4 linked regions of the Lytechinus pictus genome follow. The protein of the gene in region 1 purifies or fractionates together with the protein of each later gene. This does not show direct contact. Links are inferred from orthologs where the notes say so. Each region holds a gene or a part of one and is shown in the gene's direction. Other genes may lie near its edges.

Region 1 (6,874 bases):
AGAAAAAAAATCGAGATTTAGACCTAAAATGGGCCACTCTGTTCATGTTTTGTAAATCATGAAAAGGATGAGTAACAGGGGGTCTTCCTACATTAATAATGCGAGAACAAAGCGCGAGCAGAAAATTGTTGATATTGTGATCTGAAACTGGATAATGATTTATATATAAACATGCGCGCGCGTGTTTCATATTTAGCATGTTTAGACCTAGAATCTAGGCATTCTAAATACATCTTTAATCATGAAAATCATGAAACGTTGATATTCCGATCTGAAAAAAAAGTAAATTTCAGCTTTATTTTAAAGGAGAATGAAACCCTTGAAACCAGCTGAATCCATATCAAAGAGAAAAATCAAAGGAACACATTGTTCAAAGTTTGAGGAAGATTGAATGAATAATAAGAAAGTTATGAGCATTTGAATATTGAGATCACTAGTGCCATGTAGATCCTCCCATCGGCAATGCGACCAAGATCTGTGATATCACACACGTACAACTCCCTCATTACTTTAGTACTTATTTCACTTATATTCTCACTTTTATAGAGTCTATCACAAGGTGAGGTGTTCTCTTTATGAGATGACAAGTACAGAGGTTTCACAACATTATATCATTGATGAATCGTTTGTCATATGATTAGAATGAGCAAAAATAAATATTTTGGGGTATATTTTCAGTGTCCAAATGGGAGAGTTGTACGTGTGTGACATCACAGATCTTGGTCGCATTGCCAATGGGAGGATCTCCATAGCATTAGTGATCTCGACATTCAAATGCTCATAACTCTTTTATTGCTAGTCCTATTTTACTCAAACTTTTGTTGACCTTATTTTTTTATTTTTCTGCTTTCACAAAAGCTAACTTGCTCCAAGAGTTTCATTCTCCTTTAAGCACTTTGTAGGAAAATTGTAAGGTGGATATGGATCGCACTTAAAAAAGAGCTGATATTTTCATTATTATTACTTTGAGTTTTTACATAGGACCTGGGGGGCGTTTCATCAATATTTTCGTCCGACAAGTTGTCAGATCTGACAACTTTCCTGGATTCTGATTGGTTGAGAAGCACTGTTACTATAGTTACTGTCGGATAAAACAGGACTTGTCGGATAAAACGTCCGACAAGTCCTTTCATGAAACGCTCCCCGGGACATCCTTATGACATGTCATCATATGAAAATGATGACTATCTTCCTAAGCGCGAGATGAAACAAAAGGGACAATTTAATTATTAAATTAATATATTTATTAATGCCTAATGAGGGCGCGAAATCTGATGATATTATGGCATAAAAACTGGACATTTCACTTTTGTAAATATGAATAGGATGCATCAGTTAATATATTTTTAACCATTAATGCGAGCGCAAATCGCGAGCTAAAATTTTTGATAAACTGTCATGAAAAGGGGAATTTAAGTAGTTAGTTGTATAATCAATATTGAAACATACATAATTCGCCAATCAAAATGGCAGTATGAAACGCTAGCTGATACGTCTTGACAATCAGACCTGAAAAGGGATATTTTGAAAAAATTTGGAATACACGAAAATAATAGGTACCTGATAAATCAAAATTTGTGAGCGCGGAGCGCAAGCAGCAAAATATTCAGACCATAAAACTAAAAAAATTTACAGAGAACTTTTTAAAAATCAATTTGTAAATCACACAAAATAATGAAAGTTCGATTTCCGAGGTTTTCTGAAAATTCAGGGGGGGGGGGTCCGGGCCCCTGGATCCGCCTATGGGGACAAGGGGCTGGAAAATTTGACAAGCAAAAAAAAGGTTATCATCCCAAAAGTAAGGTCATCTCGACCCAACTCGTCCCAAAATAATGTTTTATTTCGATTAAGAATGATGTATTTCTTGCCATCATAAAAGACCAAAAATAGTAGGGGGACATTTGATATTGTGTCCCCCCTACTATTTTGAGTAGGGGGGACACGTCCCCCCTGTCCCCCCTGGGATTTCCGCCCATGGAGGGCGCAAAACAAGACAGGAGATGAATGCGCAGGGAAATGACATGAAGTTTCATCAAATTTGATAAAAACCTTGTTCTTTTTTTATTCAATACGACACGAATTTTATACCATCCTCTTATTAAATTAGAAACCTGTTTGCCCCCAAATTATGAATGTTTAGTAACTAGCTGAAAAGCGGGAGAAGTGGCCTATATGGAGGTGACGGCAGAATTTGATATAAAGATTTTACACGCCCGGAGCCCCCCCCCCCCCCCCCAGTGCGGAAATGTTGCGTGAAAGAAGAAGATAACTTCATATAATTCGGCCTAACCTTACTCTAATGCCATGCCCTAATGCATACTTGAACTTTAACTATAGGAACACACTAGTCCTATAGCCGAGGTGGAAAAACAGGGTTAGAGAAAGGGTGATGGAAACAAAGGAGAACTGCAATATTGTAATTTAACCGCGCGAAGCGCGTATGCAAAATTAATCATTATAAACTTAGAGCGAGAGTGAAGGGGTTTCGTTAAGGTCCTAATTCTTTTGAGAAAAAAAAAGAAAAAGAAAAACCCACAAAGCTACATTTCTTCCATTTCCTCCCTTCGCCTTTCCTTTTCTCCTCTTTTTTCCCCCTTTTTTTTCTTCTTCTTTTTGGGGACGTTTTGGAGGGGGGACCGCCCCCCCCCCCTGGCGCGCACCTGCAGCCTTACTCTATTCAGAATGTTGAGAATAAAATTAGGAAAATAAAAGGATAAATTAAGGGGAAATACAAAATTACAAATTGGGATTATCAAAGGAGGCGTAACGCTAGGCCTACATACATCATACCACTGTTAATTATAACCCCCCCCCCCCCGCCGAATGCTGGGGCCTCCCCTGATATTCTTTGCCGGTCGAGAGCTAATGTTTTCTAGGCCTACTTTGGTTTCTATCTTTGACTGAATATTTAAACGAAGCAAAACAATGGCTGACCGTGAACAAATTTCAACTTTACAAATATCACAATATGATCACAGCAATTTTTAAAAACTAAGATTAGAAGTTACTGAAGAGCTATATCCTCTAAAAATGAAGACATGAAGCCGACAGAATTATGGGGGGGGGGGGGGGCACAAAGCGCACCATCGCCGCTCCCCAAATTTAGGGCGGGTAGAACATAAGAGGAAAGAAGGATGGCCAAGGGGGTTGATGAAATTAAAGGTCAAGTCCACCCCAGGAAAATGCTGACTTGAATAAATAGAGAAAAATGAAACTGGCATATTGCTGAAAATTTCATCAAGATCGGATGTAAAATAAGAAAGTTATGACATATTAAAGTTTCGCTTATTTTTCACAAAACAGTGATATGCACAACTAGGTGAGTCAGTCGATGATGTCCATCTCTCACTATTTATTTTGTTTTTTATTGTTTGAATTATACAATATTTCATTTTTTATAGATTTGACAATAAGGACCAACTTGACTGAACCATATAGTATTAAACAATGCTAATTCCACATGTTCAGGGAGGAATTAATCATTGTATCACTTGACAATGAGGAGAAAATTAGAATATTTCATATTTCATAAAAATATAAAAGAAATAGTGAGTGAGTGATGTCACCTGCAGTTCCCTCATTTGCATACTAGCCAGAATGTGCATATAACTATTTTGTGAAATTAAGCGAAACTTTAAAATGTCATAACTTTCTTATTTTACATCCGATTTTGATGAAATTTTCAGTGTTATGCTTGTTGGATTTTTCTCTTTTTATTCAAATCAACTTTTTGTTGGGGTGGACTTGTCCTTTAAAGATTACACTTTCATAGCTAGACATCGAACTTGGAAGGGGGGGGGGTGGCCAGGGGAGTCTAGGTATTGTTTGATGACGTTCGATAACGCTCATTGGTAGTCTAAAAATTGAGACTTTGATAGTAGCAATGTCGCGGTAATAACGTTTTATCAGGTTGACTTGAATTCAAATACAAAATATAAGAAGTACAATTGTTTTGAGGCAAAGAAGTTTTAAATACTGGACTTTGCATATCTACGAAAACAAAATAAGATATTGGTCGTGGCTTGAAATGGAATCCACTTTAACAATTCGTTGTTGATCGATCATGCACGCGCTTATGTTTTAGACTATTATCTTCGCCGCATGTATGGTGGCGTTTCGTCAACGAAAAGCGGCAGATTCTTGTCTGGATTAAAACCGTTAAATATAGTAATAAGGTAAGTGATCTTAGCATCTTATAATGTCATGCTTATTTATTGTAGAATGTCTCGTTTATTTTTGATATTTTGATTCAAATACTCGAATGTATGGGAATAATATTCGACCTTTTTCTGGTCCACAAAGTAAAGTGTAGTCCCATAAATTTCATATTGTGTAAGTCATTCATGCAGAGACTCTCCCAGGCCAGGCATGTGTGAGGTTTCCGCGTTTTTTTTAAAATTCATTTCCGCGCTTCTTTGCTCTTTTCCGCGTTTTCTATTTTTCCTCTTTTTTTCCCTCCTATTTCTTCCGTTTTATTGTTAGCCTTGCAAAACAGACATTAAAATATATGCGTAATTTTCTGTAGAAATGTACGTAATTGAGCCTTTTTGAGGCGATATTTGTAAAAACGACTGTTGAAATAGTCTAGTCACTCTAGACTCGAGTCTAGCAAAAAAAGGTATGAGCTGGTTTTCATCGCATGTGTCGTGATGTCGATGATGTGCAATGGGACAGCGCCGTAGTAGTACCGGGACCCTAGCCCGCTAGTGTTTGCTGACGGGCCGCTCATTTTGCCTAAGTCTAACTTAGAGTTAGACAGCTGGCACTGGCAGCCTTCTGTTTCGAGGAGTTTTTTAACATTTTTTTATTTTTTGTTATTTCTCCTCGTACACAGACAGCTCGCGATCGTGCAGCCGCCATTAGGGGGTATACAATGCGAAATCTCCCTGACGGGGCTCATCGATGTTTGTCTTTATTTCATTTAAATATATAATATAAAAAGAACTGGACCAAAATAAAGATTATTATTCCATTTTGGCCTGTAATGCACCAAAACGGGAAAAAATAAACCTAAAAGGGGAAAAAACAGTGACTTACTTCGGCTGTCGCGCAACTCCCACTTCCCTGGTTTATCCGAACTTAAATAATACATAAACATATGGCCTTTTGAGTCCCCGTACAGATCGAGTTTAGAACTTTGGTCTCTGTAATTGGTGAGTGGAGCCAACAGAATTCAGTGGAACATGCAATATAACAGAGACCGAATCTTTTGGTCCAGCCTAAGTCTAACGTTATACCAAACGCTTCAGTCTCTGTATTTTGGTTGTTCTGCTGAACTGCGTTGGCTCCACTCACCAATACATAGACTGATGAATTGTTGGCCCGTACGTAAAGCCAACGTATTAGTAGTATTAGCGCGCATCTTCCTGACAAAGTCACAAAGACGAATGCATTGAAATGGAAGTCGCCAACATGCGCGATCGTTTGGAACATGTTTAAAAAGGGTTTTGAGGTGTTACTGCTTTGAAATAAACCGAGTGATTTTTATTAGAAAGATAAACGAATGACACATCTTCCGAGCAAAGTCGCAAAGGAAAATAAAATGAAAATAATTATTCATAGATCACAGGTTAATGAACGATCGGCGGGACATCTTTTATAAGTATTTTTAGGTGCTAGCGATGTAGAATTATTGGAATGATCTCTTGATCTCATACGACGCATTGTATCTTAAAGTCGCAAGTGAAATTAAAACGTAGTAGAAGTCGCAAGCACACGCGATGATTCGGAACATGTTATTAAAATGTTGTGAGGAGCTAGCGTTTTCAAATCAATTTATTACTATCTTGAGAAATGAACTTTTGATATCCAAGAAGAAATAGAAAAGAAGCATCTCCCGACGAAGTTGCAAAGACAAATAAATTGAGGTTGAAGAGAAGATAACGATGTAAGAGAGTAGCGCAGTGATGTCCGTCAATAATACAACCTTTAAAAGTTCACGGCGGCGTCCGCTATCACCACAAGGTTGAAGAGAAGATGTCTATCATAAACGATTCAAGAGAGTAGAGCAGTGATCTCCGTCAATAATGCGACCTTTAAAAGTTCACGGCGGCGTCCGCTATCACCACGAGGTTGAAGAGAAGATATCTATCCTCGTAAACATCGTCAGATAATACCACGTCTTTCTCCCTGATTAATGCGACCTCTAAATAGCTAGCACCTCAAAAAAAATCTTGAAAAATATGTTCTGAACGATCACGCACTGTATTAAAACTAGATCTACGCCGATTTTTTATATACGATTTTTTCCTTCAAGGGGCATGATCGAAGATCGGAAGGTGATCGCCGATTGTGGTAAAATCTGATAAAATCGGGAGCAGATTAAAAAATTGGTTACAGCCTTACTTTCAGACCTTGTAAGTAAGTAGATCTAGCTAGGCCTATTTCATCTAGATCTAATGTTAGGCTCAATAACTACAGAACTGTAGGCCCCTATTATTTTTTTGTACAGTTTACCAACTCAAAAAGTATGTAGAAATGTCATCAAAAGTATGCTTCAAATTGCACCATTTGTCATACGAAATTCAAAAAGCGTCACGCAGGGCCACACCCATCCCCTGCTTGGTCGCTCCGCCTCCGCTACCTTGGGCCTCAATTGTTGCAGCAAAATATTTTCCTCCACATATTTTTCTACCCCACATGCCTGCAGAGACGACAGACGAGAGATAGAGGGCTGGGCGATCGCGAGCAAGTGCAAGGGAAGGGAAACTTTTTTTATACCCGGTAATTAAGTATTTATTAAGAATATAACAACATGATCAACACAAAATTCAACTTAAATCAAGAAAATTACGACCATAAATAGTAATGAACATATTTACATGTCATAAAGAATATGACTTTCATACATGTATGAATGTTCAAATTCAAAAGT
Region 2 (7,455 bases), on another chromosome or scaffold:
GATCCTTATCGGTGCAGATGAACGTGCCAACCAGTGTCCTCCCATCTGTCATCTGTATCCTCATCGGTTGATTCAGCCATGATTCCATTCTCTTCCTCATCTCTGCCGCTCTGTCTCCATCGACTTGTTCCTGACCTGGAGCATCTTCTGCTGCTGAATTGAGCTTTTCTTCTCCTCCATTGATGGACATTCTAGTATCCTCCATGACTGCGTTCTTTTCCTAGGGTCAAGAAGAAATTAAACTTTAAAATATTAGTATTACAGTCAAATTTAGCGGACTATCTGCGTTAACAATTAAAACTTTTACCTTCCTTCCACAGTCCCCATTTTAGCATAGCTGTTTACAATTTAACATTGTTAAAGATTTAGATGAATTCTAAGTCAAGATCTCATCCGGAATTTTATTTCCACAATTCACTGTATTCACATACATGATCTCTGACATAACAACACCACCACATCATGTCATGGCATTCCTTTCTCTCAATCAATTTAAAGGGGAATCCAGCCTTGGCCATAAAATGTTGTGTTGGGAAGGAGAAAAATAAACCAACAGAATAGTGAAAGTCTGAAAGAAATCGGACAAGCAATAAGAAAGTTATAGCTGCTTTAAAATTGAAAACTCTAATACTATGTAGATTTCAAATTGGCAACTGGGTAAGTAAATTATGACAAGAGGCAAGGACAACTTTCCCATAGGCCATGTACTTTATTATCAGGGATTTGTGGTTTTCTCATAAGTACCCATTCCCCTGGGGCAGTAATCTAAATATAATCCAGGTAGTATATTGTATTATGTCCCCATGAAAGAAAAATATAATTTGAAATAAAACTTTTGGGGAAAATGACATTTTAGCCATAATATGTATTGGAGTACATGGAAGAGTAGTCCTTGCCTTACATCACTATGACATCCCATATGCGGCCAATTTGAAGTCTCCATGGGTATAGTGATTACCAATATTTACAACTTTTAAAAATTCATAACTTTCTTGTTGTTTGTCCAATATTGTTCAAACTTTCACCTATCAACTTGTCTGATTTTTCTTTTTCTAATAAAAAAAAGTTTTTATTTGGGTTGGATTCCCCTTTAACTATGCTAATTAAAGATTTTGTTAGACACCGTTCTCATTATAGGCCTACTTTCTAAAACCAGTTTACATGGAATCGGTTCAGGAAAGCAGTTTAGAAGATCGCTTCAATGCTAGCGTTCCCATTGATCAGCAGAAAATGGTTTTCAAAACCACTTCACGTAAAGTGGCCTTGTTGCTATGGGAACACTCTCAGTGGAGGTGACATGTTTCGTGCAAAATTGGAAACCGCAGCATAGACATTCTACACAAAGTGTGTGGAGTAACAGGCTCAAAACTGAAGAACGGTTGTGTCTTCACTTACGCTAAAACCAGTTTAACACAGCAAAGCGATCTTGAAAACATCACGAGGTGGTTTTCCAAACTGGTTTGGAAGATCACTTCCAAAACTGCTTCTACTGTTCTCATTACACGTTAACTAGTTTCCAGTAAACTAGTTTAAGGGTGGTAATGAGAACGGGGTCTTAGTAACGAGTGAAAGTTTTTCCATCCCATTAAAAAAAAGGAGGGTCTTCGGAACTACAAATGTTTGAGAAAACAGGGGTCCTTGGAACGTGCATGCAGCTAGCCCGGGGGCACGGGCGCCGGGTGTGCTCGCGCATAGGCAATGGTCGGACAGCGCTCTGCAGGCCACTTTCACCAAAAATGCAGCTCATTGTAGAGGATCAATGCGGCCGGAATGATGTTACAAAAAATATGCGAAGTATAGGAACGGATTTCTTTCTCTTTTTTTCAATATTATCACGAGGGTCTGAGCTCAGACCCTTGCGCATGCGATGTTTTGAAATCGGCAGCAAATTATTTATACGTGTGAGGAACTCGATGTTGGCTCTAAATCACCAATTTTGAGGCTAACCGGAGGATGGATATGGAGTGAAATTAGGATGAAAAGTAAGAAATTAAGCTTCTTATTCTTTTTAAGCTAGTTTCCGTATATAGGATTTTTACAATAATATGCATTTTTTCCCACCTTCACGACCTTTGCCACTCGGAGTATCAGAGCGAGTTTTGGACCTGGAGCCTCAAGTTGAGGTTCAGGTAGGTGGAGCGTAGTGTAGGCTGTAGCGGTAGTGAAGTGGAGTGGAGCCTGCACGAACATCACTTGAGCCCGGGGGGGCCACTTCCATTGACGAGTGGATACCATGCGCGACCAAGGGGTCTCGAAAAGCACCCTAAACACGTATTTTCCAAATTCTGAAAATGCACCCCTTAACAAGTATTGGCGTCTGAAACCCTACCCTTAACAAGTATTGGAAACAAAACGATACTCTTGGCAAGTATTCCCTGAAATGAACCCCTAAACAAGTACAGCGATATTTGATTGTTATGTCACGAGTCCATCGGTCGTCGGTTTTACCTTTACAGTTTACACACCATTTGGTTTAGTATGGCCCCAGCTTCCACACCTCGCGCAAATCGGACTCTAATTACTCTAAACACGTAGTGTTGGGGCAAAAAGGACATCCTTTATAAAACATTTTAATTTTGTTTATCATCCCCGCAAATTTGACCCTAAACACGTACTAGCTTTCCTAGCGAAATAGATACCCTTTTTTCATTATTTTTGTGTTTTTGACACCCTTATCACGTTACGTACGTAACGTGCCCTATCTTGAAAAAGACATCCTTTTTACGTGTTTTTTTGGTCGCGCATGGTATCCACTCGTCAATGTAAGTGGCCCCCCCGGGCACTTGAGGTAGGTTTCGTGAGGCACATCCCCATACATAAAAAAAAATTGAGATCAAGTGCCCCCACCAAGCTTATTTCCACTCCTGCTCCACATGCATGCTCTTAGTCTTAGTTTTTTATTTTATTTTATATTAACCTTATGATCACGCTTCCATGCCTTTGCATAATGCATGTTGTTCTCAATCTACACTAACTTTGTTTAGTATAATACAGGTACAGGGGGAAAGAGTTCCATATGCACCCCCCACCAAAAATAACAAGATTGTTGAGACTTCCGGTTCGTTCATCTCAGATTTTTCTATCATTTTTTTACTGTTGCTTACCTTAGTTGGGACTCTAACTCACCTCGTTTTATCTGCAGTCAAGACCACTCTAGGCGACACCCCAATACTTACCCGTGCTAATAAACTGGGACTCCACTCACGCGCATTTGGGCCGCCCTAGCTTAGAACTAAGCAATATTATCTAGAAATTAATAAACTCTAGTCATGAAATATGTTCTATTAAATAAATTGATAATGTTTAATCGGTACTCACCGGTTCTTTTGTTGCATTTTCAGACCATTTCTCACAAATTCTTTGTAAATATTTGCGGCAAATTTTGTCGCCATAGACAGCTATGCATCCATCTTTATTAATAAATGGAGCGCCCTTTACGATAGTTGTTAATGCCGCGGAGAAATCGTTAGGCATTTTGGCATGTGTTCAAGGCGTTCTTTCTGTTTTATTTTTTATATTGAAGATTGTGCATTTGTTGAATAGCGCCGTCTACGTCAGGTATGAGATCGAGTGTATAAATACACTCTTCCAAAATAATTATGATTCCGACCTGGCGCTGTTTAACTTCAATCTCTTTCACCTAAATTAGCGATGAATGCTAGCATTATAAAATATATATTATTAACGTCTGACAAAAAGAATAACCAACCGATCAGCTGACGAGAACGCGAATCACGTGATCTTCATATCAGCTTCGATCGCGAGTCAGAAGAGAAGAGCAACTGCCCAGAAAATCAGGAAAAAGCCGTGAAAATGTAAGTTCCCCTTCATTTCTTTCATTTTTTTGTTGTTGCTAACGATGCATTTACACTATAAAATTATAATTTAAATAAGAGAAAGGAATATAGCTTGTACTTGTGATATAATATATAAATATCCTGTTCTCAGAGATTTCTAACCAAAAATACTACTGATGTCGCCTATGAGGTCCATACATGTAATGTTTGGACCTCATTGGTACTAGGAGTGGTCAAGACCTCTTCCCGCTATGCTAGCGAGAAGCGCTGATACCGGAAGGGGTATTTTAATGATTATCAGCCGATAGCTCGACTAGTCTAGACTCACAGACCCTTTGGCTTTACTGACTAACTTAGTTAAATAAACTGATGTCTATGGACAATTACACGCACTAGATCCTGCTCGAAATTTGACGGAATAAAGCCATATTTTGGTGTGTATTTCCACTCCCCCATCATATATGTTCTAATCTATATTATGGCTAGATATATTATTCTGAACCTTCTCTATATTTTCATTTTCAATTTTAGTGGGGATGCACAGGGTTTGATGACCCACCGCATCACAGGCAAAACTTTACTTCGCCTCTTTAATTGCGACGCTATCCCGATTCGGGTATGCATTAACTTTGAGTATCTTATTATCCAAGACCAACTACAATATCATGATACGAATACCGGTAGTTGAATCTTATTCTTGGTAAAATCAAGCTTCTTTCATTACTTGCATATGAAAATGAGACCTAGGGCCTAAATAAAACTTAAGTTAGAATTCCAAGTTGTTTTTTTTTTACTTACCAGAGTCTAGATATCAGTAACTACTAACTTTGAGGTCCTTTGCGCTCATTTAGAGTGGTCTAACCAGCAGCTTCGTGATCACCGTACCCGCCTTCACCTTTGGTATACCGTACGCTCTCGACCTCGATACCGCGCGTGAGAGAGTGGCTAGTGCATGCAGTGGTGGTGTGCTAAAACCTTGCCCTTGGAAGTTGGAACACAATTTCATCACGTTTCTCTGGCTTAAGCTTGTCCTAAAAAGTTTGCAATGACGACGGGAGCTTCAAACCCAACCAACCCTATTGTTTTCTTTGACATAACAATAGGAGGGCAGGTAATTTTCTTATCATAATCATGTGCTCTCGGACCGTTAGTTACTCCGTGCCTGTGTGCTGTGGTCCCACGTGCTGATTTTTGTGAAGGCCCTGGGGCCCGTTTCTCAACACATGGACAAGTTAGTCATATACATGTATCGCCTTATCGGCATATCTTTATCCACCAACCACGGAGTTAGTTCCAATCTTACTAAACCTGTTTCTCGAAAGGCTTCCTAACTAGAATACCTTGATATCGATACTATCGGTAAAAAGAGCAGACGAGACGTAGCCTTAGTCACAAAATAGCATAATTTTCAAAAAGAAAAATTATAAATATGATATGACAAAATTGCAAATATTATGATGAATTGGGAAAAAAATCTTTTCAAAATAATAGCACAGGTGAATTATGCATCATACATACTTAGACCATGAAGACTGGAGCATTCAATTGCAGAGAAAATCAAATTATGAATAATTCATTTCATGACTAAAAAATCACTTGTGGACGTTGAGATGGGTACCCCCGGCCCGGCAGACCCAATTTTAATAGTTTACGAAAGTAAACCATAACGTTTTTTTTTGTAAAATGGTGATAATTATACGGACTTTTACGATTCCAAACGTCATCAAAATATAGTTTAACGAAACATTTTTAATCATTGATACCGAAAGATACGATATTGGACAAATTATATGCATAAATTAGAGATAGAAATTAGAATTCATCCAACTGTTAATAGGGGTCTGAAAACAACAAATACGAGTTCAGTTATGGATGGCCTGACGTGGTAGAATCTTTATCGATTAAATCATTTTACTATTTCAAAATGAATAGTTTTGTGGCGTTTTACCAACAGTTTATATAGTTTATTTGTATTACAATTATCATTGAATGCATTATCCCACTTGTTTTGTGATGTGATTTTAACCTCTATGATTGATTACGTAAGATTATAATTTTAAAATTTCTAGGCACTTTTGCATGTCATAGTCTACCCACGTGATGCTACTACGTCATAAAGAAAGAAGTTATGACAGGTTCGGATGTGTCATAAATATTTAGTGAGGTTGTTGTACCCGATCTTGGTAAAGAGGGCTTCGTGAAACGGTTAGCGGACAAGTAGCTCACTATCTCCGATTTAGTCAAGAAGTTAGACTTATGACGGTGTTGAGAAACGGGCCCCTGCATGCTAAACTTAGTGGCTAGTGGCAGTGCTATCATGGAGATCCTCCCAATTTAATTGGCCAATTCAATGGCATCGCCATTGGCAAAAATATGCGACAAAGTCAAAGATGTGTGAATGTGAACAACTTTCCCTTTGATTGAGCTTGATGGACTATAAAATACCCCCAAAATGTCTCTTTTTGCTCTAGTCTTAGTCTTATGCCTGGTGATACAAATTCACAAACTCTTCATCCTTAAATAATAATGACAATGTATTCTTTGAAAATCTATTACATGCCCTCAGTGTAGTCATAAGTCAAGAATACAAAAATTAAGAATAATATATCGTTGTAGATCATCTACTTCAAGGTCAACTTGTCATGACTTGTTTACTTTAGGTTGTCAATTCAGGAATACTCGGGACAGTCAGGTATACATATATGGAAGTGGATCGTAATCGTATTACCGCACACTTATCATGAATTCAAATTCAATCATACTGTATGATATCGAACACATTACTCTCACAAAATTCACCCCAAACTTTCACCATAAATACACAATTACCTACAAAATATAAATATGTAAAAATTTTGCCGAAATCGTTTTACCTTTTTACGATATTAGCTTCCAATCGATCGGACCCCTCTTCGCATGTGAAATATTTTGGTCACTTGAAAAAAGTATTGTATATTACCGAACATGTGTTTTCTATGGGATAAGTTGAGAAAACAACAAAAGTGTCTAGTGATGAGCTACTTTTACCATATTTTATTATTTTTAGAATATTAATACTTTGAAAATGTGTTTTTGACCATTTTTCATCATCTTTCTATTCAAGTTCCCTTTGGAAGAAAGTTGCAAGGCTTTGAGCGTATGAAATTATTTTCTGACGCTACGATGCGCGCGTTCGGTAATACAAGGCTGGTCGGTAATACAGTCACTCACTACACCATTTTGTTTCCAGTACTTGTTAAGGTTAGGGTTTCACACGCCAATACATGTACTTGCACTTGTTATAGGCATACATTTTCAGAACTTGAAAAATGCTTTTCGAAACCCCATGGTCACGCATGGTATCCACTTGTCAGTGCCCCCCCCCCCCCCCCCCCCGGTCAGATCTTATTGGCAACTGCAATTTTTAATAGTTTTACTAACAACCATCACGAAACGCATCTAACAAAAAATCAGATGCTATAGCGTTGTGTGTAAGTGTGCCTCACCACTGTGTTCAGTGCAGGTGTGAATGCAGTTGGAAAACACTCCGTCCATTGGAAAGGACGCAAATGTTGGTCCCGTGTATACGAGAGTCACAACCTATGCACGTTAAAACCAATACACTATTCGTCAAAAGAGTAGGGTGTTCACCAGGTGCATGCACCTGCCGGTACTACAA
Region 3 (6,874 bases), on another chromosome or scaffold:
ATAAGTGATGTTATGTAATTGGTTTATTGATATGAAAGCCAATTGATACTTAACCATTTACGTTTGCAAACATTGTGCTTCTGTTATGACCTGATGTTTATGATGCACTGGAACTGCTTAAAGAGATTTTTCTTCGATTCATTAAAAAAAAACTCTACTGCAATAACAATCCATGCAAAATGGAGAATATCTCTGTTAAGCTGAAATGACATACCAATATTTCTTTTTGGGTGGTTATAAATCATCCTTCATGATAATTTCCCACTTGAATATGACATATTTGTATTAAAAAATGTTGCTACATTGTAAAAAATGAGAGAAAAATAAAATCCCCACCTATTTCCAACCCAAAGGGTTACATGTTTCATTCCGACAAAAACCTTTCTGTGAAATACCCCCAACACTCCCCCTCCCCTGTAAGGGGTTACTAGTACTCCTGGCTGAAAGCAGAAACAAAAATCATACAATTTGGATGATTAATAATGAATATTAGGTTTTGCATTAATTATTTCTGTGAAACATGTGCATGTTTTCATGAATATGCAAGAAATAGCCTGATGATGTCACATCCACACATTTTCCACACATGAATGTACAAGGGTTCCATGATATTTGCTCTGGCGACAATTACTCAATGGAAAATCTGCATGCTAAGCAAAACATAAAACTTAATTTTCATGACTAGATACTTCCAATCCTTGATCCTTACATTATTCTGAACTCGCAATAACTATCTTAAATATATAATCAGCAGTCAACCCCATTTTTACATTCCTGGAGGAAAAAAAATAATGATTATGATTTCAGATCACTAGAGAACAAGTGGGGATATGAATATTGCATATGAGATACACAGAACTGTTTCCCCCAAGTTATGTAAAACTTTAAAACTGAATCAATTCATAATTCTCCATCCAATATTGATGGTTTTTGCTAGTCGAATTGTTCTTTATCAAAATCTCATCATTTTTGGCCTGGAAAATCACTTTCATAGAACATAATTTGACCCCCCCCCCAATTACCCTCTGCTTTACAGTTCGCACATGAAAACTCACCAATGACATAAAACAAAGTCCTGTCAAAACCTGTAACATGACAGGCAATGTGTGGTTCTCTCTGTTGGTACCCCACTCTGAGAGGTTCATCCTCGTAGTATTCAAATGGATTCTTCCTGTCTCTTAATCCATGCTGTGGTCTTTCTATGTGTTGCTGAATCTGCATGGAAGTTAAAAGATTGTGTTTAAGAGTCACCATGAATGGGCAATTTATCTTTGAATTTCATTTAATTCAAAAGTGTTTAAAATGAGGAACAGAATGTGAAAGATTATACAGAAATCCTTAAAAAAAAGAAAGGATAAAAATTCTAATTGACATGAGTAGCTTTTCTATTTACCTACTTGTAAAAGTGAAGAAAAAAACCCTGCCAATTGTTGCTGATCATCATCATTGATCAAACCACGCACGTCATAGAGATGCTTCTATGAAAACTGATTTACTGAATCACTTTCAATTGGCTTTAATAATGAAGGCAAGGCACTAATTTTATGGAACTTTGTTTACACAAATAGAGGTTATTGCTTGCGAGTGACTTTCGAATAACATATTTTCATGAATCTTCATCAAAGTCTCATTAAACCTTTTTTTCTACCCCCCCCCCCCCCCCGGCATTCATCAAACTGACAATGCTTTCTTTCTCTCTTTTAAATAAATATTCAACAAAATGTCAGGATTAATTGGAGATCAACAAGCCTAGTGACCAGTAGACAAATATATATGTTAATAACACACAAGCAAGGTCCCCCCCCCTCTTCTTTTTTGTCAATTACTATGACAAGAATGAAAAAGTAACATACATGTCACATGATACATTTACAATTACATGATGAATTCAAATCCCAGAAATAATATTTTATTAAAAAAGGCCATTTTAATGACATTTAATTTTTTTAAAATATGAATTGATAAGGCATACCTCACTCTCTTGCAAGACGGCACAGCAGTTCAAAATTGGAGCCATGTTTGCTTTGTCTTGATTGAGCACAATCTGCCGAGTATGTATGGTCTGTTGCTGATATGGAAGAAAAAAAATAATGAAAAAAATATTTATTCATCAATCATACTGCAATGTCAAGGTATATCAAAGAAAAAAATAATAAAGCAGCTACAAATGTAGATTGATAAAATCCGCTGTTTCAGAGGAGTCGTTCAACATTTTCTGATTTTTTTTTGGTGGGACGGGATGCTGCGGAGCCACATGAAATCTCAGGGGAGCATATCCCTGACAGAAATAAACCTATTTATCGGTCTACTACAAATGTAGAGGACTGAAGATCAAATGCACTTGTCTGTGGTCTCATGTGAATATAACATTGGGACTCCTTGTGAAAAAAAAATACTTGAAACAAAGAGGGTGGGGTAGAGTTTATAATAACCCCCTAAAGAGAGAATTTTCAAAGTTAGACCTCAGTTAGATCTACTCAAATAATCAATTAGGCCTAGGATTTCCATTATTTTTTAATGTTTTGACGACACCGTAAATCTATAAGTGATCGCAAATGCAATGCCGAAGGTCAGTAAAACTTAGTTTTAGTAAAAGTAAAATCAGCTCATTTATAGCTGTTGGAGTAAACAGCGGTGAGTGGAACCCAATCTTTCTTAAATATTTTTTCAAAAAATAATTTAATCAGGGCTTAGCCTTAGGCTTAAGTTAGAGTTGACCCTTATTAAAATATTTTTTTTACTCCAACGATGTTGTAGGACTAACTCTAACATGGCTACCAGGTAAGCTTCATAGCTTGACCATCTATCCAAGCCAAGACAAAGCCAGCCCAGAGTAGAATGTCTAAGTTAGACCGGCTCTGTATTGTAGTGTTAAAAAAAAACTTATTTGTATTGCTGCTCTCCTGGACTTGCCTTGGCCTTGCTTCAGTCTCAGACAAAATTAGATGCACAGTAGCTGTGTTGGCAGGGCCAGGAGGAGTGGCAGGGGTATCGTAGACAACAAAAAATCCATGAAAATCACACGAAATCGAAAATCACTCACTGCCTGACATAACTAGCAAATAGTATCGACCTTTCAATCACGCCTACCTGGCCTGTGTAGTGTATGCTAATTGCGTCTCGCACTGCAATGCTCATAGATATGAACGCACACAAAAGTACATGGCTGGGACTGAGCAGCTTAGAGACGCGACGATAACAATGATTCAGATACCATTTCAAGTTTTCGAGTATACCTTTTGGAAAGTTAAAGCTATCAATAATAGTTACAGATGGAACTGAAGGCTCCGTCATGATTTAAGCTCCAACAATTATGTAATTTACTTACAATCTCGGTCGAAGTCGTGAAATATGAAGCTTTAGATAAGCCGATCACACCGAATCTCGTCTCTGTCCAAAAAACTTTTTTCTTGCAGCAAACTTTTCCGCAATCGAAATGCTGCTCTCTGATTGGTTAAAACAGTGGACTAACTTTAACCCACCGATTTAGTCCACCCCAAAGAGCTGACTAAGTCGTGACGTCAAATGACGCGTTTTATACCCCGGTATAACTTTAGTCGACCTTTGTGAATCGCAAAAGTTAGCCCCTAGGTGCTAACTTTAGTCCATGGATTAAAATGACGTCAAATGACGCGTTTTATACCCCGGGTATAACTTTAGTCCACCTTTGTGAATTCGGGCCCTTGTTATGAACAAAATACTGGCAATTGCCAGTGAAGTTCTAATAAATTCAATTCAATTCAATTCAATTCATCATCGTGTTACATTTGAGTTGAATAATAATAATAATAGGCATTTATATAGCGCCATCTATCTAGAACTATTCTATTCTGAGGCGCGTTGTTATTACTATAGAAGAAAATGACAAATGATGTTTGCTTGTCATTTTTTTGATGATCCAGATGCTACCGTCTATGTCGGAGGCTTGGATGAGAAGGTGACAGAGGCATTACTATGGGAACTCTTCCTACAGGCCGGTCCTGTCGGTAAGTCTCAGTCTTGTTATAAGGAATGAAATGAGGGCTGTAATTTGAAGAAATGAAGGTGTCTTCATTGTGAAAACACAAAGTTAGAATTCTTATTGATGGCTTGTTAGGAGTAAGCTATGTCAAATAGAAGAACAATAATCGCATCCCTTATATACTGTAAATGAGAAGTATGAGTATTTATAGAATACATCCACTAATAGCCATAGGAAATTGAAAATTGAATGGAAACTATGACAAGAGAAGCTGTGTAAAGCCAAAGGATTTCCAATTGATTTTTTTTTCAAGAAATCAGCAAACATGTACTTGTAGTTCTTAGTATTAAGTAGCAACCTCATCTCCAAATTTTCTTTTTCATTCAGTAAACACCCACATGCCAAAGGACAGAGTAACCCAGTCGCATCAGGGTTATGGCTTTGTGGAATTCATGGGGGAGGAGGATGCCGATTATGCCATCAAGGTGCTGAACATGATAAAGCTCTATGGTAAACCGGTCAGAGTGAATAAGGTAAGTTGATACCATGTTGGATGCTGTATGTAAAGAGAAAATTGAATTGTCCCCTATATTAGCCTAAATAGGAATTTAGACGTAATGGTAAAAAGGACAAAGTGGCAGTTAGACAAGATGGGTATATCATAGAACTGTTTGTAAGTTACCAGCTACCTTACGATCGACCGGTGATATTTTCTTAGGAATTATATCAACACCTATAGATGCAATTCTAGTGTATATCATTTAACACAATAATGGATCATCACTCATTCATAAATTCTCTTGTAACTTGTGAAACACCCACCGGGAGGTCATCAGAGGAATTGATCGTACATAAAATTTGATGAGTCTAGGCCTAGATGAGATCATCCAGGCTGCAACCAAATTGGCAGTAGACAAAATAGGGGTGAGACCAAGATCACCACTGACTTAGAATATGTCCTCAGCTCACAGCCAAGACTTTGCACACACATTGGTCTTGAAGGGTAATGCTTTGCCATGGTAATACAGGGAATAATTTTCCTGGTGTCGCATCGCAGTTTGCTCCACATTTTTTAAAGATTGCTGCACATGAAGTCATTTGTATAGCATATTTTTACATAGGACTGTGCATTACTAGTTGAGAGCTTTTCTCTTTAATGACCAAAAAATGCTATTGAAATTTGTAAAGCAAAATTATTCCATGGTAATATTAATATATGCTCTTCACACAAAGCTATCATAACTATGGGTAGTACAATTTCTCCTGTAGGACACAATTTTGCCGTTTCTCTTAGAATAATATTTAAATAATATAGGATTTGTATAGCGCACGTATCCACCTTGCTAGGTGCTCAAGGCGCTCCTATATTACCCCGGCTAAGCTAGTCTACCAATTCTGGTGCACACAGCTTTTTGAGGAAAACTTCTTGCCGGTATATCCATTTACCTCACCTGGGTTGAGTGCAGCATGCACAGTGTGGATAAATTTCTTGCTGAAGGAACACACGCCATGGCTTGCTAGCAATGATACATGGAATGTGGTAAGAAAGAACAAATGTCCTAAAAATAAATGAGATCATTTCCGTTGCAGTATAAGGTACAGTCTGTCCTGAATAAAAGCCATTTACCAGCTAATCATTACACTCCAAATCGGCAACACAATAAAAGTAATAACAAATCAGTGTTTGAAAATGCAAATTGGCAACTATTCAAAATAACGTTTCTTTCATCATTATTTTAAGTATGAAAATGAGTAGAAAATAAATGATTGTTAACAATTTGAAGATCAAAACAGGATTAATTTTGACTTCATGAAAGCTGTGTATCTCGCACTCAATGATATTGTGTGGCTAATAGATCCATGTAAATCTCATTAGGCATCGGCCCATCAGAAGAACCTGGATGTTGGAGCGAATATCTTCATCGGTAACCTAGATCCTGAGATTGATGAGAAGCTCCTGTATGATACATTCAGTGCCTTTGGCGTCATCTTACAAACACCAAAGGTAAAGCTTGATTTACATTCATATAATGCCATAAAAAATGGTTTGCTGCGTCAAAGGGAAAAAGGTTGGGGTCGGTTGGTATTTCTTATTAATGCTTGAAGTATTTTCTCTTTTTTTTCGGGTATAAAAAAGAGTTCCTAAATTTTTTTTTAATGGAGATTGAGGGTTTTTTAGGCACAAGTGTCTTCTGTTCAGAATATGGAGGATGTTCTACTGTCATTTGCCAATTTATAATTTTTTTTATCGCTTTAGAATGTGTAATTGTAAAAAAAAAAATGGTATGAAAATTAGGGATTTTTTGGGCCTTGTTGGCACATTTTTCTTCTCTTTTTTTTTTGGGGGGGGTTCAAATTGGAATTTTTGAAAAATATTAGTCTGCACTCTGCAGGTTTTACCAAGGTTGCAAGGTTGATCGGGTTACCCCAAACAATTTTTCCCTATTCAAACTTGGATAAGGGATGAGGATAATAGTTGCAGAATATTTTGTGAAAATCTAATTCTTCCAAAGGGCCTACCTTTCATAATGTTGATGATTCACATCGTGTTTCATTATTATATGGACCACTATTGAATGCTCACCTTTTCTCTCCCCACAAAAAACAAACTAATCAAAGTATTATATTTAAACAAACAAAAAAATAAGAACAATACTAAGTTTCCTCTTTCTCTCTCATAGATAATGAGGGACGTGGAGTCCGGGAACTCCAAGGGATACGCTTTCATCAACTTCGCCAGCTTTGAGGCAGCGGACGCAGCCATCGAGGCTATGAATGGACAGTATCTGTGTAACAGGGCGATCACCATCTCGTTTGCTTTCAAGAAAGACTCGAGAGGAGAGAGGCACGGCTCGGCAGCAGGTATGGAACTAATGGGTTAATTAATAATTTTCTAACAAAATTGATAATGGT
Region 4 (7,008 bases), on another chromosome or scaffold:
CTTTGGCCTTCGTTATACACCTGTATCCGTAGGATGTACACAGTAGTTTAGTAATAATTGTATCATGTACATCAACATCAACAAGATCTTCTAGCCATTCACAAGCAATATTCTATATATATATATATATATATATATATATATATATATATATATAAAATTCTCCTGGCTATCATTTCGAGAGATAGGGGCCTATCAAAATCCAGAATTTATTCTTAAAATAACAATAGGCCTAAATATCCCGAAAGAGGTGGATTTGATAACAATTTTTTTTTTTTTTTTTTTTTTTGGGGGGGGATTTTTATCTTATTGATCGATTAAACATACCGAATCATTACACAAATGGACAAATCAAACCCGGACAATTATTTCCAGAGAGTAGAGTGTGCCAGAACAAGGACACTCTCTCAAATTTGCCAAGCAATGACGATCTAGACTGGATATAAGGAAACACTTCTTTAGCCAAAGGGTTGTCAACCAATGGAATAAAATCCCACAGTCCACAGTTGAGGCACCAACACTCCTGCAATTTAAGACACCATTATCAAAATTGGGTTTTTAAATGGGCTCTAAGAGCTAGCCTCCTTAAAACCATGCCACACTCATCTGTACACGGCTCGTCGTGAAGACAGTGAGATGTGGCCATCTAGGTAACTTCAAGGTAACTTCAAGGTAAACCACATTGTTTCAGTTGACAAGACCCAATAAATAAGAAAATTTACAATTAAATATTTCCAAGGTGTCATTTTCTATATAAATTTTGTACCGAGTCCGGAATCTGCTATTTGGGTCCGGTGTTGCCCAACGATTGCAAAACTGTTTCTGGAGCATAATTATGAATTCCATAAAATATTTGGGTCTTTGTGAAACTTTTCAAGGAAAAGTATACGTACATGTAAATGTCATTTTCTGAGCAAGTGCAAATGCTTGGAGATCGATCATTTTGAGTCATCCTTGATTGTAGTCATAGTAATTAAAATATATTTGGACTCTATCTCTGCCAACACACCAAATGAATAGATAAACTGGGGCGGTATTCTGAAAACGTTCTTATCTTAATTTTGTTCTTATCTACGTCACGTTCTCAAATTGGTATTCTGAAAACGTTCTTATCTTTTTCTTATCTTTTGTTCTTATCTTTTTCTTATCTTGCTTTCCATCGATGCTGAGCGCGTAAATTTATAATTCGCGCATATGATACAAAAGCGCGCTAAAAGATAAGAACAAAATAAAGATAAGTGGTATTCTGAAAACGTTCTTATCTTTTATCTTTCTTATCTCTTTACGATATTTATGATAATATTTAAGATAGCTAGAGGGTTATCACATCTCAGGATGTCCGCGTTCTTTCTTTCTCAAAATCGATGGCCACTGGTAGTAACAAGTATTCTTTCCACCCTTTCTTTAATTCACCCTTTATTTTGCCCGTCTCTTTTTCTATCTCTTATTTCTTTCTGTATTTATTTTCTCATTTTCTTCATTTCTGTTTGTCTCTCTTTCTTCCTTTCTTTCATTGTTTATTTATATCTCTTGTTTTATTCTTTTGAATCTTTTCTTTTCTTCCTTATTTTTCTTTGTTTTCCTTTTTTCCTTTACTAAGTCTTTATTTTCCCCCCTCTTTCTTCTTTTCTTTCTTCCCCCTTTTTTTCCTTCCTTCACTTTATTTTTTTTTCATTATCTTTTTTATTTCTTCATTCTTTTTCTTTCTTTCATTCATTCTTTCGTCTTTATATTTGTTTTATTTATTCATTTTGTTTGTTCCTTTTTTCTTCCTTCCCTTAATTTTTTATTTTTTCCTTATTTTTCTTTGTTTCTCCTTCTCTTATCATCTTTTCTTGTTATTTTTTATTCTTTTTTTTCTTTATTCTTTCCATCAATCTTAATTCGTTTCTTTTTTTTTCATTCATTCTTTATTTTTCCCGCCTTTTTATTTTCCTTTTTCGTTCTTTTTCTTTATTGCTTTACCGTTCGTTCCTTCAATCTTTCTTTAGTCTTTATTTTATCTTTAATTATCCTTTCATCTTTTCTCTTTCTTCCTTTTTTCTTTCTTTCTCTCCGAGTCTCTCTCTCTCTCTCTTTCTTTATTTCTGGTCTATTTTCCTTTTTTCTCTCTTCCTTTACTTTTTACAGTTTTTTAATTCCTTCCTTTTTCTTTTGATTACTTTCTTTCATTCGTTTTTTTTTTCTATTTCTCTTAAGGTTATTGTATTCTTTCATTTTATCCTTTGTAATCTTTTTATTTTGTCCCTTTTGGTTTTTTTTTTGTAAAGTTTCTTTCTTTTTCCTTCTTTATTTTCTTTCATTTTTTATTCCTCTTTTTATCATTAATAATCGTTCTATTCATTCCTCCTTTTTCTTTCTTTTATTCATTCTTTATTCTTTCTTTCTTTTCTTTTTTTTTAAAGTTCTTTTTGCTTGCTTTCTTTTGTTTACCTTTTCTTTTTTTCATTGTTTTCTGCTTTGTTCCTTTCATATTTTTTTATTTGTGCTTCATTCTGACCCTTTACTGTCTTCTTTTTTTTTAATTTTTTATTCGTATTTGCTTTATTTACCTTTTTTCTTTAATTTGTTTCTTTATTTTGTGCACGTGTCTCGAAATAATAATCAGTCATTGCGTATAAAATGCCTATTTCGCGCAATGTGCCACAAACAGTGTACGCGCAGCGCCCATGATATTCTCTTCACACAAGGAACGCTTCTATTGGTTAAACTTACAATATAACACGCATTTTGATTGGTAATATCCTAAAAATGGGCGTGTTGAAGATAAGAAGGAGGCAGTCCTTACAGAGATAAGAACGCGTTAAGAAGATTTTCAGAATAATACCAACGAACGTAGAGGGCAGCAACACACAAGCGTGTTGCTCTAAGGAAGGTCAACTCCGCTCGAATTTTGTGACCACTTTAAAAAATAAGGTGGGGTTTTGGGAAATTTGTCGAGTTGATTTTTTTTCATTTGTTAATTTCAAATATTTTTTAATGAACAATTATTAGATTGGTTATTCTGGGTATAAATATTAAAAATATTACTTACATTTTTAAAGAAAATATTTAGCTTAAATAATCATGATTTTGACATTTTTCCTCATTTTGGAATATTAAGCCTGTGACGAGGATACCTCATATCTCTTATTTTCTTCTGCTGAATTTCGCTGCACCACTAATAAATGCATAGACAACCACCGTAATAATCGAGGTCATTTTTCTGGCCTGGGTGCGCCCAGTCTGGGCCGGTCGCGCAGCTAGCTAGTGACGTTGATGATGCGCTGGGGCTTCAGGCGACTCGTCATAGATCTAGCAACTTAGACAATGACATCTAATTTGCCTGGCCTGATTTGAAGTGTAATGGCTTCAGGGCTGATGTTTATCAACGATGATTGTTCAAGGTTAGATTTCAAATTTTAAATGTCATTTGACTTTTAAGTCTATAAATCTGAAATAAAGGCGCTGTATCCCCGAAATCCGGGTCTAAATTTCAACTCTGAGTCCGAGACCATGGCATGGACGGCGAAAAAACAACCCATGCATCGGATGCATTGCATTGGCTGCGCGCTGCGCTGCAGCTGCACTGTGATGATGGGTTCAGCGAAGAGCTCAGAGAAAATAAGGTGGTTATATTCAATCCCGAAATGCTTTGCGAGTGGTCACAAAATCGTCTCGACGCAAATCACCTAATACAGCCGTCTGGTGAAATCGCTGATAACAACAATCACCGATTTGGTAATGATTTTAGTTTCTTGAAACTTATATTTGTAAAGTTTTAAATATCAAAGTATGTTTTTATATGTATGTATATTCCTCAACATATTTTTTAAGTTATCTTTGATACGTTGTAGTCATATTCTTTCATATTCGTTTTTTGATCGCTACTAATTTGTTGTTGTATTGGATCGGCATTTGATTTCGTAGGCATGAACAATAAAATACGCGCGCAGCTCAGCTGCATGCGCGTATCGAGTTGACCTTCCTTATAGCAACACGCTTGTGTGTTGCTGCCCTCTACGTTCGTTGGTGAATACCGATTTGCAATGATTTTAGCGTCTTCTTATCTCATTGAGATAAGAACAAAGATAAGAACAAAGATAAGAACGTTTTCAGAATACCACCCCAGATGTATAATAATACTAGATATATTATTTGGAATTTTCACACTGAGTATACAAAATAACATAATCTGTACAAACGCGAACGGCGATGGCGCTTTTGTACTTGTCAAAGAAAAGATGGCGACTTCCACGCAGAATGCGAAAAGACCCCTCGTCGATGCAAGCTATGATGACGATAGTGATGATGATTACGGTATCTATTCTTTGAGTTTATCATCTTTATTTTTTATATTTAATTTAAAAAAAAATTCACCAATAGTATCATTCATATCCTCGGAAAGCCATTATTAATTTAACGTTTAGATTCACTTTGGTCCCACTCCATTATTTTTCAAGTTGGCTAGTGCAGCTGTTCACATTGCAATTGAATTGGGCGCTAATGCAGTTTCGCACCACTCTAGAGTCTAGGCAATTTGCCTATTTAATTTCGTGTTGAGAAAGTGAGTCAAACGGGTGTGAGTTTGGTCGTTAAATGCCAGCCAAGTCCTCTAAATTTCGGTCTTACTTCTTCTTTGACTGTCTGTCATATTATTAATTATTATTATATTAATCTACGATTATGAATTATGATATTGATAATTGATATAAAATCGGTAGGCCTACTCGCCATTTCTTTTTTTGAAAAATTTGGTGATTTCATCCCCTCTTCTGGCCAACTCTCGCGACGGCTGTTGTCGCAATAGGGTCATGTACATGCAAATCCAAGGCGAGTTGTCACCTGACGCTCGCGAGTCTCTACTCTAGTCTAGGCTTATTGGCCTTTATTATTTTTTTGTCATAATTTTACAATGATGCTTATAAATATTGAAATCTGTAGACGAGTCTGTGCAGGGGCATAACAGGGGTATATATTAAGAGGGGACACAGCACATGCCCTGGTGGAAAATAAAAGTTATGTAATGTAACTTGTAAGTCCACAGTGAGCAAATAGAGCAAGAAAAAGATTTTCATGAGAATCTAACTTTGAGTTTGAGATAGATTTTGACAACGTTCTTACATTTTTTACATGCATGTGACCAACTTGTGATGAAATATACTTTTTCTTTATTTCATTCAACAGTTCCGTCTAAGATTCCAAAGCAACAAAGAGAAGACAAGAGCAGAAGTTGCCCCTATCTGGACACCATAAACAGGTGTGAACTACAAAAGGAAACACGGCTGGAGTGACAAAACTTTGGTTTAAGAAAAGTCAAAGATATGGCCTGCATAGCTCTGTTATCCTTTGGATAGTCTTCCCATTGACATTGTGTATATATAATGAATTTATATTCAGATAGAGATGGGGCAGCATCACTTGCTACATTACATGTACATGTAACTGTGTCATGCTATTGATATAGAAAGAAAATGATTTATTTCACCTTTGTGACAAAAGAGTGAATTGATACACTAACTTGGACTCATTTCACTAAATGCCAAATTCCTATTTTATCTAACAACATTTAGTCACAATCATGAATCGAGACAATTGTCTTTCCGTTGATGCCCACAATCAAAGTGTTGATTATTATGGCAAGGTGAAAAAAGTTGACTTGACCTTGTCTGCGATATCCTACTTTACTGTTAAAACATGTGATTTTTTTTTCTTCAAGGAAGAATAACAGAAAGTGAATGAAGAATGAAGTGTAAAATGAAACTGTGTTGTATATATGTAGTCCCTGGTAGAGCTATATAAAGTATTTATAAAAATGAAAGGTAATAAACAAGGACTTGCAATCTAACATAGTAAATGTAAAAATATGTTTTACAGGGTGAGTCCTAATGTGTGCTTTTTATTTTCACAGTGTTGAATTTGTTATTTCTGTCATACAGGAGCTTGTTGGATTTTGATTTTGAGAAGCTCTGTTCAGTCTCCTTGTCTCATTTGAATGTGTATGCCTGCCTTGTTTGTGGAAAATACTTCCAAGGTAAGAAAACCCATATTTTATCTGTATTTTTACTGTTTTAAAACCTTAGTTATCTCTTTAGATTAAAAAAACAATGTAGTTTAGAAAAATTAATCTACATTTTAGTGTAACACGCGGAAACTGATGTAGAAAGATGACACACGACACCATTCCTTGTGTTTCGGTTCGTTTAATATCGATGAATCGTTACATACAAAATTCAAAGTACAAGAACAAAAGATAGAAAAAACCTGTAAAAACCAATAAGAACAAAACCATTAAATAGAATTATATGTTTAAAAAAATGCACAGAATAGAAATATACACATATTTGCTTGTGACTCTAAGATAAACATTCATCAATATGACGTCAAGTGGACTCGTAATAATAAATGATAAACATGTTTTCTATATCCATTCATTAAACTTAATCAATATTGCCTGAATCCAACTCATCTAATCACAAATTCAGTTCCTCCATCGTTATGGATAACTCTTCCAACAAATAAATGAAATACATCCATCAAGTGAAATTTACCAAACAATAATTAGAATATGCCAACAAATTAACATTGAAATACAGTGGTTAATGAATGATAACCACTCACCCTGACAATCTGGCCTAGAGGACCATATTTCCTCTGGTGAGAGCCTCACCCGCTACACGAATGTCATGTCAAATACCTTTAAAAGGAAAGTAACAATTATTACACATAGTAAGCAATCATTGTGACCCTTTACTCTGAAGACACAAAACTGAAACATTGAATTAACAATTCAATAACCAAAATCAATTTAACCAAAATCTTTCACTCTAAAGATCATTTTACTAAATCGTTTCACTATAAGATTAGAACCGAACACATTTTATGTTTACAACTACATACTACAATCAAGTATACAAGTACAAGTAATTATACAAAATATAACAAAATGACATAAAAATCATCTGAAGTAACAAACACAGATGCATAACTAATAAACTATTTAATTCACAAAACCCCTTTAAAATAAGA

What was found.
Region 2: the proteins of 116 kDa U5 small nuclear ribonucleoprotein component-like (region 1) and peptidyl-prolyl cis-trans isomerase H-like purify together in Homo sapiens (affinity purification with mass spectrometry; 3 studies listed by BioGRID and IntAct, with this or other methods). This does not show direct contact. The link is inferred for Lytechinus pictus from reciprocal best matches to the Homo sapiens genes EFTUD2 and PPIH.
Region 3: the proteins of 116 kDa U5 small nuclear ribonucleoprotein component-like (region 1) and splicing factor 3B subunit 4-like purify together in Homo sapiens (affinity purification with mass spectrometry; 3 studies listed by BioGRID and IntAct, with this or other methods). This does not show direct contact. The link is inferred for Lytechinus pictus from reciprocal best matches to the Homo sapiens genes EFTUD2 and SF3B4.
Region 4: the proteins of 116 kDa U5 small nuclear ribonucleoprotein component-like (region 1) and ubiquitin carboxyl-terminal hydrolase 39-like purify together in Homo sapiens (affinity purification with mass spectrometry; 4 studies listed by BioGRID and IntAct, with this or other methods). This does not show direct contact. The link is inferred for Lytechinus pictus from reciprocal best matches to the Homo sapiens genes EFTUD2 and USP39.

The regions. Positions count from the first base shown.
Region 1 is NC_087257.1:27,317,433-27,324,306, reverse strand, and holds the start of 116 kDa U5 small nuclear ribonucleoprotein component-like, read left to right. Parts: upstream 1-3,853; 5' UTR 3,854-4,175; intron 4,176-6,874. UniProt on the Homo sapiens protein: Required for pre-mRNA splicing as component of the spliceosome, including pre-catalytic, catalytic and post-catalytic spliceosomal complexes. Component of the U5 snRNP and the U4/U6-U5 tri-snRNP complex, a building block of the spliceosome.
Region 2 is NC_087258.1:26,234,889-26,242,343, forward strand, and holds the start of peptidyl-prolyl cis-trans isomerase H-like, read left to right. Parts: upstream 1-4,444; 5' UTR 4,445-4,842; coding exon 4,843-4,908; intron 4,909-7,455. Other genes in the region: N-alpha-acetyltransferase 38, NatC auxiliary subunit-like, read right to left, coding at 1-205. UniProt on the Homo sapiens protein: PPIase that catalyzes the cis-trans isomerization of proline imidic peptide bonds in oligopeptides and may therefore assist protein folding. Participates in pre-mRNA splicing.
Region 3 is NC_087258.1:12,072,916-12,079,789, forward strand, and holds the start of splicing factor 3B subunit 4-like, read left to right. Parts: upstream 1-3,871; coding exon 3,872-3,986; intron 3,987-4,348; coding exon 4,349-4,494; intron 4,495-5,837; coding exon 5,838-5,966; intron 5,967-6,642; coding exon 6,643-6,823; intron 6,824-6,874. UniProt on the Homo sapiens protein: Component of the 17S U2 SnRNP complex of the spliceosome, a large ribonucleoprotein complex that removes introns from transcribed pre-mRNAs.
Region 4 is NC_087262.1:12,999,795-13,006,802, reverse strand, and holds the start of ubiquitin carboxyl-terminal hydrolase 39-like, read left to right. Parts: upstream 1-4,003; 5' UTR 4,004-4,028; coding exon 4,029-4,299; intron 4,300-5,166; coding exon 5,167-5,239; intron 5,240-5,918; coding exon 5,919-6,013; intron 6,014-7,008.